Linked DNA regions of Caenorhabditis elegans. The protein of the gene in region 2 purifies or fractionates together with the protein of the main gene of each other region. This does not show direct contact. Each region holds a gene or a part of one and is shown on either strand. Other genes may lie near its edges.

Region 1 (5,304 bases), on a different chromosome or scaffold from region 2:
AAGAGGATGAAGAATTGGAACTTGGAGTTGCTGAATCGTATGCCGTATTGTACAAGATTCTCAAACTGAAATCAATTCATTATATGGTCGCAATTCTTCTTACTGGTAAACTAGCGTTTGCCGCTTCTGATGGAATGACCAGTTTGAAATTGATCGAAATGGGAATTCCAAAGGATCGGCTAGCAGGTATTGGAGTTTTCCTGACACCAATGCAAATCATGTTACCATGGATGATTGGAAAATGGACCGCTGGGCCTCGTCCATTGAACGTATTCCTATTGGCTTTCCCATACAGAATTTTCATTGGAGGAGTCTTTGCTGCACTTGTTTGGTGGACTCCACATTTTAGTCTTCCCGATGGAAAGTTTGAATACTCGGTTTATATTGTTTGGATTACCGGATACATTTTCCATCAGGTAGGAAAAATCAAAATATTTTAGTAATTGTAAAATTATAAAATTTTTACAGCTTGCCACATACTCGATGTTCGTCTCAATGATGGCATTCATTGCTCAAATTTCTGATCCTCGAATTGGTGGAACTTACATGACCATGTTGAACACTCTTAACAATTTGGGAGGAAATTGGCCGGTTACTGTAGTTTTAGCAGTGACAGATTGGTTTACCTACAAAGATTGTGTTGTCAAGGGAACGAAAGAGTGAGTTGAAAAAATCTCGACTGCTTTAGGATAATTTAAACTTCCAATTTTTTTTCAGAATTTTGTACGCTTGTAATACGAAAGTGTTAGCTGATCAATGCTCGTCTGGTGGTGATGTATGTGAAGTGGCAGTTGATGGATATTTCATTTCGGTTGCAATTTGTTCCGTTATAGGAGTTATTTGGTAAGTAAACAGAGAATCTTACACCCCTCATGAATGTGATAATTTGGAATGAAATACGTGATTAAAACGTTACTTCCTTTCCTTTCGATTCGTTTGACCTGACCTTCAACCGACACATTCACACCCAAAAAAAGAATTGTGAAGAAATAAATTTCTTTCAGGTACAAAGTGTTCTACAACAAGATCAAGTACCTGCAGAAGATTCCACGAAGCCAATGGAGAGTCTTCCCATCAAGATCTGCCGAATAAAAGATCCCTATGAAACGAAAATTCTTACTTAAAAATAATTTAATCCTTTATTTTTTTGCATGCACAACAAACAAATAGTAGAATAATAATAATGTTTCCGGGCGTTTTTTTAGCGTTTAATGTATTTTTATCTCCTGTCATTTTTTTGTATAACTATGATTCTCAGTTTTAGTGAATCGCATGGCTTGGTCTGACTCCTCTCTCTCTCCTCCACAGCTTTCCCCTGGTCCTCACAGTTTTTCTTTTGGCATTCATAATTTTTAAAAGATCCTGTGTTCTCTCTTCCTCTCCCCTCTTTCTCTGTGATAATAATTATGCCAAGGTTTGTGATGATTGAAATGACTTCAATTTGATTGAATTCTTATTATTTATTCTTCTTTCTGTCCTTTTCTTTCTATATATAGTACATAATAAATGGTTATATAATGTTAGAAATATTAAACCACTGATAGCGGGGTATCTCCAGAGTTTGGATAATCGTCAATGTCCATTTCATTCGGGGTGTCATCGTGTTGGGCATCAACTCGTGGGCATGTAGCACGGAGCTCCAAAGGATACTGTTCAGGTGTGGGGCAAAGTGTTTCAAATTTGACGGTTCCTTCCTCGTCCTGAAAATAGTTAGTTCAAGGTTTTTTGAACTCTTGATAATATCTCTTATTATTAAAAGTTTTGCAAAAAGTCACGAGTGATCAAATACGGGTGGTCTCACGACTCAGAAAACAAGTAAAATATTTAGAAGATAATGAGATTCAGATCAGGTGTGCGCGGCAAACGATTTTTCCGGCAAATCGGCAATTTGGTAAATTGCCAGAATTGAACATTTCCAGCAAACGCCGAAAAATTTCGGCAAATTGTGGTTTTGCCCTTGTTTTGGAAATATCAGAATTTCAATTTTAATCCTACATCTATTTTGAAAAGTAAGCAAATTCTATGAAAATATCTAACGAAAACGGGAAAAAAATTTCGAGTGTTTTCGTGTTATAAAAAACCCTCTAAACATTTCCGGAAAATCGGCAATTTTTCAAAAATTAAAATTTCCAGCAAATCGGCTAACCGGCAAGTTGCCGGAATTAAAAAATTCCGACAAACCGGCAATTCATCTCTCTAAGATTCGCGTGAGCAAATATAAAATTTAAAAGGATCCTTACCAATTCATCCAAAGTCCACAATCCGATATTTCTGTGACAGACGTATGGTGTGACAATTGATCCAGTTTGTTGTGTGTTATTATTGCACAATCCAGCCATCACCAATTGATCTTTCAAGTGTACTCGAACGATTTTTCGAGAATTTTGCTCAATGCACTCGGTTCGGCATACTGAAAAGAAATCTTTCGAAATTTAATGGGGAACATATGTTTATTGTAGTTTGGAATACCAACTAAGTTGCATGGTAATTTATTTCCAATAGACTATGAAATACAAGCGATGGTAGGCTAATGCACCTGGAATCGTATGTGCCTGCCTACCAGAGTTTTATTCAATAACTTTGCATAATATGAAACAACTCAGGCTAATTTAACTTCAAGTATTTTCATAATAAACTTAACTGTATAAACATCTAAGTATCCATTAATCAAATACACAAGGTAAAATAGTATTCAGATTGACGGTAACTTCATTCTCAATTCATGTTTCAATCTAATGTCCAATAAGAATTAAAAAACTTACATCCAACACTTCCTGAATCCACAATTAAAACAAATGTTGAAAATACAAAGAAAATAGTTGACCACATAATTTTAAACTTCTTCAAAAAGAGACTGGAACAGTTCGCGGTGAAGCGAAGTGGGTGGATCTTTTTGAGAAGACACTTTACGTCTTTTTTCGTTTCTTTTTTTCTCAAATTTCTTTCAAAAAGTTTGTTTGTCAACTGCTGGGCGGTCTCAACCGACGTCTTCTCTAGTTTTTTTTTCTGTTCTGTTCATGGCGATGTTGATTCAATTGAAATAGATATTCGGATCGAATAAATAAAGGATGATCTTCAGAATAAATAATTTCTTGTTATTTTCAAATTGTTGCCTTCTTGTTGATTTCAAGTGCCCATTTTTGACTTGTTTGTCAAGTCTCAAGGCATCAAATTCCACTCGTCTGGAAGACGTCATCTGGAAAAAGATGTCAGATTTGATAAAAACTGGATTTTTTTTCGAAAAGTTGAAATATCTCGAACAACATTTGATTCTAGTAAACCAATTTTTAATTTAAAACATCACCAAAAACAGTTGTAAATTTGATATTGTTTGTGATTTCATCAGGTCTTGGTTTTACATTAGAAAACTTCTTGTTACTTTGGTGCTTACGGCTATATAGTTCTAGTCTTAACTTGCTCTGTTTTTCAATCCGAAATTTTTCCAGAATTAAATAGTTTTTGACTGACTATGAAATTTGAGTTGAAGGTCGATATTTCAAAAAAAAAAGTCTCAGATTTCTGTAGCACTATGGTAGACTTCTGTAGATATGTGGAACTTGCCACAGAAAACTGTGCAATGTGTGCGAGAAGATGACAAAGAGTTATGACATGGTGCATCAAAAAGTTATGAATTGCGTCAAAAGAAAAAAGCCTAACGGAAAATGGCGGGCAGTAGAATCTGAAATGATAAGGGCTTGTGTGGTGTGGTGACAAGCCGAGTAAGCTCGAATTCAATCCCAAATGACTTGTGCCGGCAATTTCTATAGTACAAGTTGTGTGGCGACATTTTTGTTTGAGATACATTTGCTGCGATCTCTGTACATCAAATGGACAATACACGACTGAAATTGACTCGCAGTGTCTTAAACCACATTCCCCACACCGAAATCCAACATTGTTTATAATTTCGTTATTAATTTTTATTCTAAAATCGATGATTCAACGATTCAATATTTTACCACAATAACAGGTTAACATCAAATCAGAGATGTGAATTTTGTGATAGGAAACAAATCATATTGAATGACGTAGAAACGTGATTCAGGTCTTCATTCAAGTTTAAGACAAATTCAATGACTTGTAGTGGTCAATCAGTTGATCATATGACCATCATCAAGTATGTCAGTTCATTTTCGTTGTGAAAGTGAAATTTCGAGAGTGATTGAATGAAAAACCATCGAATTAACGACGAAAGCATTTATTTATTTTTCTTTATCGATCAAAAATCAATACTTATTCTGTACCTCTGGAAACAAATAGTTATGGAATTGAGATAATGAAGAATATTTGGAATATTATCAGATGACGTTTGATTGGAGAACATGTCATGACAGAAACATTGAGAGACAGGAGAAAAGTAGGATAAAAGACGTGGAGATCCCAAGAAATGAGAGATGCTGGATCACATGGAAGGGGGACACGGTGCTCGAGTTTTAGCCGGACATCATTCTGAAAGTTTTGAAAAATTGGTTTATATTTAAATGTTTAATTGAACTTGATAATCTTATCTTTGAATCCAAATAGGTACGCAATTCTTACTTTAAGTCCAAATTGCCATACCCAAAAATTAAGCCAAATTGGGAAACAGGCACACAAAACGCCAGCTAACTGAAATTTTTATTTACATTCTAGTTGAAGACTATTTTAGATCAACCAAGTTATTTCTTTTTGAATTTTTAAGTTGAATTTAAGTTCAAATCCGAAGTTTCCAAAATTACCCAGTGTTCCAAAAAACACAAAAATGTGGCCGAAACGGGAAATTACTATTTTTGTAAAAAAACAACTAGGCAACGTACAGCTAAAGCAAACGTTCCAGCCTTCTTCAAACACCTGAATAAACTTTAAAAAACAGGCGGGAGGCTTGGAGCTGGCACATACACCAAAGTCTTTCAGCATCCCATTCCATCAGATGTAGTTTAAACTTTACACTCAAATTTGGAAGTTCAAAAGTTTCAAGTACCTATAGTTTTAAGTACTGTACTTTCCTTGCCCTTTCTCAAAATTTTCAAGTGTCTACGTGTTCTCTCCACTGAACTTGATTCTATACGTCACGAACATGCGCAGATTATTTTATATTTTAATTCAAAAACGTGTTACACAAAGTTAATGTGATTATTTTTGGCACCAATGTTGTTAGGTATAGCGCTATTTGCGTCATGCAAAACTCAATCAATTTGCAAAAAAACGAGTAGCCACTATCTACATCACCACACATACCTATATCGTGCCATTAAATTCGGCATTGGCCTGTAGCTGAGACCAGATCGTATATGTCGATCGAATTGTGAACCTCCTCCTAGAAGC
Region 2 (5,983 bases):
GTTGGAGCATCGGATTTTGGAGTTGGTAGGGGAAGAATGGGACCATATCGCGGTTGAGGGTAAATCCCGCCATATTCGGTGCACCATTTCCCACAGCAGAAAGCAAACTCGCGGGAGTTTCAGTAGTCTGGGCAGTCTGTCGGGTGGCGGAATCGCCATTCTGAAAACGATTATTTTTTAGGTACAATGAAATGAAAAACTCACTTGGTCAGCAGAGGCTGGAGCTGGAGTGCTTGGCTTGCTCATCCTGAAATGTATGATTTTGTGAAGATTTGCACTTTTAGCAGCTAAAACGACAGTGATCGTGGCGAGACCCAACGAGAAGAATAGCGTGAACACGTTCTAATAAAAAAAATTCCGAATCAAAAGCTGAAAAGGAAAGAGGAAAAGGTGAAAAAGTGAACTGTTAAAATCGAGAATGTCGATTCTGACGAAAAACGTGGCACACGTTGCTTCGCCCATCTCTTCAAGAGGCACGTGAGGTCATACGGAAGTTCATCTTTTTCGTTTTTTAAAAACATTTTGTTTTAAAGGGAAAAATTAGAAAACTTCAATGAAATTGAAAAGAATATTCTGAATATATTTCCAAAAAAAAATTTTCAAAGCAAATTTTTGAAAATTTTTTACAATACAGTTTTTATTTTTTGCCGTAGTTGCTCTTTTGGGAAGCTCATATCTCTCTGCATTTGAAAGATATCAACAAATTTTCAACAGCAATGTCGTAGAGAAAAATACATAAAACATATTTTTCTTGTTGCCATTTTTTGATATTAAGACTAATAGCAGCTGAGATACAATCTGCCAAAGTTTGTGTGTGCATCACTTCTACAAAATAGCCTATTTCAGAATGTTGTGCCTATATTTTTAATTAAAATTTAGTTTCAAAATATAGAAAAATATTTAAATGGCCTGAAGATAACATGTTGCATTCTGAAAGTATACAGTATGAAAGTTATCAATTGAAGAATTTTCCCCGATTATTTGGAGGATTATATTCTAAAATTGTTAAGCATCTTTCTATAATTTTAAACGAATCAAAAAAATAACTTTATATTCATATTTCAATTCTAAATTTCTCTAAATTACTAAAAAAAACGTTGTTGGAATATTTGGTAATTTACCAAAACATGAACGAAATAAAAAATCTAAAATGCAGAATGTACTTTTTCCTGAAACTTTTTAAAATGTAATTTAACCCAGGTATTCCAAACTTTTGTGAAACTTTTTTGTTGGTTTCTCACAGACGGGTGGCGCAACCACTTGGATTGTCTTACTGCGGATTACTGTGCGGCAAAACACCAAACAATGTATAATCTTTTGTATAATTTAAGTGCTTATATCCTTTGCTTTTTTCGCAATGAGATACCGATACCGAAGCCAGAGAAAGACGGCCCTTCTCAGCTTGATACCACGATTTACGAGCGTGATGCGGAAGGAATAAAGAAAAAGCCTAACGCCGACCCAGTTGGAGGAGGAGGTGTCGCATTTCTTTTCGCGCATCTTTTGACGCGAGCCCGACGAAGAGCACATTGTGATATAAACAATTAGTATGATCTTCAAGAGAATGTGTTTATGTATTCAAGGAAAGATAAAACGGATTATTAGGAAAATGTGGAACATTGGAAAAAAGAACATCATCTCCAATTGTAAGGAGTTTCATACCAAATATACTAAAACTAAAACATATTACAAAAAACCAAGTATCTAATTGAAACAACTTTTCGGACTATTTTGTCAAATTTTTTGGCAAATTACCAAATTTGTTGAACAACTCTATCGTAATAAATACAATACAATACAACTTATGATCAACGTCCAAAATGATGATAAGTGAAAACTGAGTAATTTTTGACTAGAAATTTATGATTTTTTTTCAGTTCTTTTTGTTTTAATTTATAAAATTGGGGTTAGAAAAATCAGATCTTGATGGTAAAATATCTTTAACAATTGAAAACATTTTTTTTTCTCCAAAGTCCACAAAAAGTGGCAATTCCTCAGTTTTCAAAGCACATAATTTTGGAAATCCGGAAAATATGATTTCTAATAGTTTTGTATTTTAATTATATTTAAATTATATGTATTTAAACGCTGTGATTGTTCAAATTTACAAAATTGCCCGAAGTTTTTCATAAAGTCCAAATTGGTAAAAAAATTGGCAATTTGCCAAAGTTGACTGGAAAAGTTGAAAAATCTTAAACATGTTTAGATATTTGGATTTTTGGGACATTTTAAGAGTATTTAGACAAAATCATATCTAGTCCTACTCTTTCAGTTAACATATGTGTTTCCAAATCTAAATTATATTTTTTAAATACACAGCTTTGCCAATTGATACGAATTTGGTAGGTTTTCTACAAGAATTTACAAGATCACATGCATTGTTTACAAAAAACAGTTTAATTTCTCAAGTTCTCCTTGATTCCATATATTTTGTGATTTCAGCTGAAAGTTGTTGCATAGCCTTGTCCAATCCATCTCCAGTGAGTGCACACGTTGAGTGTATCGACCAGGTACCACTACGATACAGGTTTAGGCCTGTAAAACATAATATGTCGAAGAGTTGGGAAGGGAAAAAGTGGGAGTACCTAGAGCTACCGTAATATCCGAAGCAGTCATCGCTCCAGGGATGTCCATTTTGTTGGCAAGAATGACTATTGGAATCTGTAAAGTTTAAATAAACGTCTGCATGTTTTATACGTACCTATTCAGATACAAATTTCTGCCAAAAAACCCTAGCAACTTTTGTACAAAAAACATAGGCAGTAGGGAGACACGTATGCAGGAACACCTATTCTACTTAATAAATGTACGGAGAGGATAGAAAGTAAACATCTGATTTAGATTGTGTCGAAATTCTAATCTCGAAATTCTAAAATTTTTGAACAGTCGATTTAATTATGATGTTTTTTGGGATTTTTTAATAAAAATATTTTAGTACCTCCATTCACTGAAACAATTCTATTTTATTTTATTCTAGGCTAGAAACTGAGCACAATCGTAAAATGCTAGCTTTTAGGAAACTCAAATTTTATTTCTTTGACTGTTTTATGATTGTCTTCCTCTGTTCAACCTTCCAAAGTGACAGTAGTCATAAACTTGTTCCAATGATGAAACAGACAGAAACTTACCCCTCGGGAAACCACATCCTTGTGTTCCATCACCATCATCAACTCGTCTTTGAGCAACTCCATTCGAAGACGATCAGAGCTATCGAGTACAAAAATGACACCCTGAGAAGAGTGAAAGTAGCTTTCCCATGTACTACGATATTTCACTGAAATTAATAATTAAAAAACAAAGAGTGGTTTTGAAAATGTTTCCAGTTTGTAGTTACAACTTTCGAAACAAAAAAAAATACTGAAAAGATTTCCAACTTCAGCCAAATCTGGCAAAAACTCCGATAAATTATATTGTACGTTTCTACAAAGGCGCGAAAAATAATCATACCTACCGCATGCCTACACGCGTGCCTACTTCCAAATCTACATTTTGTTAACACATATTTCATCAGTTCAGGAAAACGACTTTAGTTGTTCAAGTTTATCAATCGATTAGTGGAATTTTTGAACTTGAAACTATAAAATTGCAATGACCGTTTCGAGCCCTACGCCGAAAAAGTTTTATAAATTACTGACCGAAAGATTCTACAATTTCAATATAAAATTTGAAATTCAAGCGTGTCTCACATACTTTGTCCTGCCATATCGAATGCATGAAAACTGAGATTTTGAGTACTGAAATTCGTAACCACGTGTCCAACAGTTGGCACAATCTGCTGACTTCTTGTCTCTGGAGTTTTGAGTTGATTCAAAATTGTAGTCTTTCCCGAGTTATCCAGTCCAACTACAACGATGTTCACATCCTTTTTTCCCAATCCGAATAAACTGGACAATGACGAAAAGAAGCCCATTGATCTTTTTAGATCTTAATTTCAAAGTATTTTCTAGATGATTAATCGATTTTGGGTGTCAATAAGTGACAGAATGTCATAATGACCTTTTCGGCAAGAGTTCAAAAAGGATTGAAAAAGAAATGAAGTATCAATAATCTGACAGATGGTTGGGGGACATACTAGGATATATTTTTAAACCGTTTTTTTTTTAATTAGGATCATTTGATAAGAATTGGGTGATAAATTAAAAACGTTAATTTAGTCTTGGAAGCTTAAAGTGTAAGAAAAAGATGTTCAGTGGAAGAAAAAATATAGTTTTATAAGAATAGTTTTGAAAACCTTTTTGATAATTACTTTTGAACTATCCAGTTTTATGTTTAACAAACTACTCTTTTTTTTAACTGAATTTTATCTTGCAGTATGTACTTGAGGTTGTTTCCAAATTTATCAACAAATATGAACATAATTTTCAAATCAATAAAATAATTTTCTACATTTTTAAAATTTATTAATAACAGTAACATCTAGAATATCGTGCAGAAAAAAGCACTTTAAAAAATTGTCGGATAATTTTGTAAATATGTCCTGCACTCGTCTACTACACATTGACACGCTGGCTTTCAGGTTATTCTGCAGACAGAAAAACTGTTTCATGACAAATATTTTGTTAGTTTTGTTAGTTGACAAAATTTTAATAAAACCAAAGACAGTCGGTATTAGCTGACAATTAAAGACTCGAAATATGTCCAAGTTTCTTGATCCTAACTTTCCTTCCTAACTCAAAATAATTCCCATAGCGACCTGCTTCCTTCCTTAAATTACGCAATACTCTTCCCTTTTTGACAGTTTCCGCCTGTCGATTTGGCAACTAATCCTGCGTTAGAGGGATTAATAAGGAAAAGGTACCGAAATCCATAAATTTCCAATTTTTGCGTCGTCTGGTAATAAAACTGTCACCTTGCTCGTGGTCAGAGAAGAAAAGGAAATAATGATAGAAAATAAAAGGGAGAGACAATTGTAATGTAAAATTCAATTTTATTATCAATTAAAATAATTTTCGAAGCTTCATAATATTCAAAAGCAAAATAAAAAAGAAGAATAAAGAGGTAAAAGTCGATATATTTCGCTTTGCATCTCAAGCAGGTAACCATGGAAACAAGCAAACAAGCAGGTGGTCATGAGGGGCAGAAAAAGAAGACAGAGAAGATACTAAACATTCGTTACATAAATGAAATTCTATTATTCAGATTTGAGCTTTCTCCAGTTGTTTTTGTTTCTCATTTTCAATTACCGTCTGCATAAGTGAAGCTCCCGCCTTTGACACAAAGAAAAAGAAAACGAAACCTCCGATAATGATGAGAGCTGTAATAGATCCGATTCTTCGATAGTATTTTCTTTGCTGTATAAAACGTATTTCTTTTACAACATACTAAAATTTTAGACTAATTCAAGTACGTTTAGACCTTTTTTGATTATAAAACTAGTTTGAAAAAAAAAACGCTAATCCTTTCCGCCTATATAGGATACACATCTAAGATTTTTTACAAAGGTTTTCATTGATTTTTTAAAATCCTCTTTGTATATTTTTCAAACAGAAAAACCCACAAGTTTTTAGTGATTAATATTTTATGAAAACACTTACCACCGACAACTATCAAATCCAAACCAGGATTAGTGAGTAAAAATCCAACCAGTGCAAAAGTCTCTAAAATATAAACAAACGAAGCAACCAACTGACGATGTAAATTTGATCCAATGAATGATCCAATAGGACCTCCACATGCAGAAATTGGCACAGTAACGGAAAAATATCTCCATGCCATAATATCAATATCTCCCATCATAACAGCTCTGTAGTAGAATCCAAAAACAGCAATAACTCCCTTGAGTACAACAGTTGTTGGAGTTGCAGTCTTTTCAGTTACACGGAATAAGAGAGTTATAACTGAAAAGATGCAAATATCAATTCCTGATCCAGCAAATGCATCAAATATTCCTCCAATAATTCCAGTAAAGAACAGAACCCATCCTTTCCATGCACAGAATTCTGGAATTTCACGGAATGTTGATCTCTTCTTTTGAGCATTCAAA

Evidence for each region. The genes of interacting proteins can lie anywhere in the genome.
Region 1: the proteins of arl-6 (region 2) and T26C5.4 fractionate together in Caenorhabditis elegans (co-fractionation; one large-scale study listed by BioGRID). This does not show direct contact.

Annotation. Positions count from the first base shown.
Region 1 is NC_003280.10:9,247,604-9,252,907, forward strand, and holds T26C5.4 (uncharacterized protein), read right to left. Parts: upstream 2,920-5,304; 5' UTR 2,830-2,919; coding exon 2,763-2,829; intron 2,411-2,762; coding exon 2,241-2,410; intron 1,701-2,240; coding exon 1,530-1,700; 3' UTR 1,445-1,529; downstream 1-1,444. Other genes in the region: T26C5.3 (Acetyl-coenzyme A transporter 1), read left to right, coding at 1-416, 469-659, 718-843, 1,005-1,092; nlp-82 (Neuropeptide-Like Protein), read right to left, coding at 4,434-4,449, 5,218-5,304.
Region 2 is NC_003281.10:4,810,905-4,816,887, forward strand, and holds arl-6 (ADP-ribosylation factor-like protein 6), read right to left. Parts: upstream 3,927-5,983; 5' UTR 3,911-3,926; coding exon 3,691-3,910; intron 3,275-3,690; coding exon 3,129-3,274; intron 2,662-3,128; coding exon 2,586-2,661; intron 2,536-2,585; coding exon 2,405-2,535; 3' UTR 1,577-2,404; downstream 1-1,576. Other genes in the region: C38D4.7 (C2H2-type domain-containing protein), read right to left, coding at 1-160, 205-246; F26A1.7 (Membrane transporter protein), read right to left, coding at 5,136-5,254, 5,535-5,983.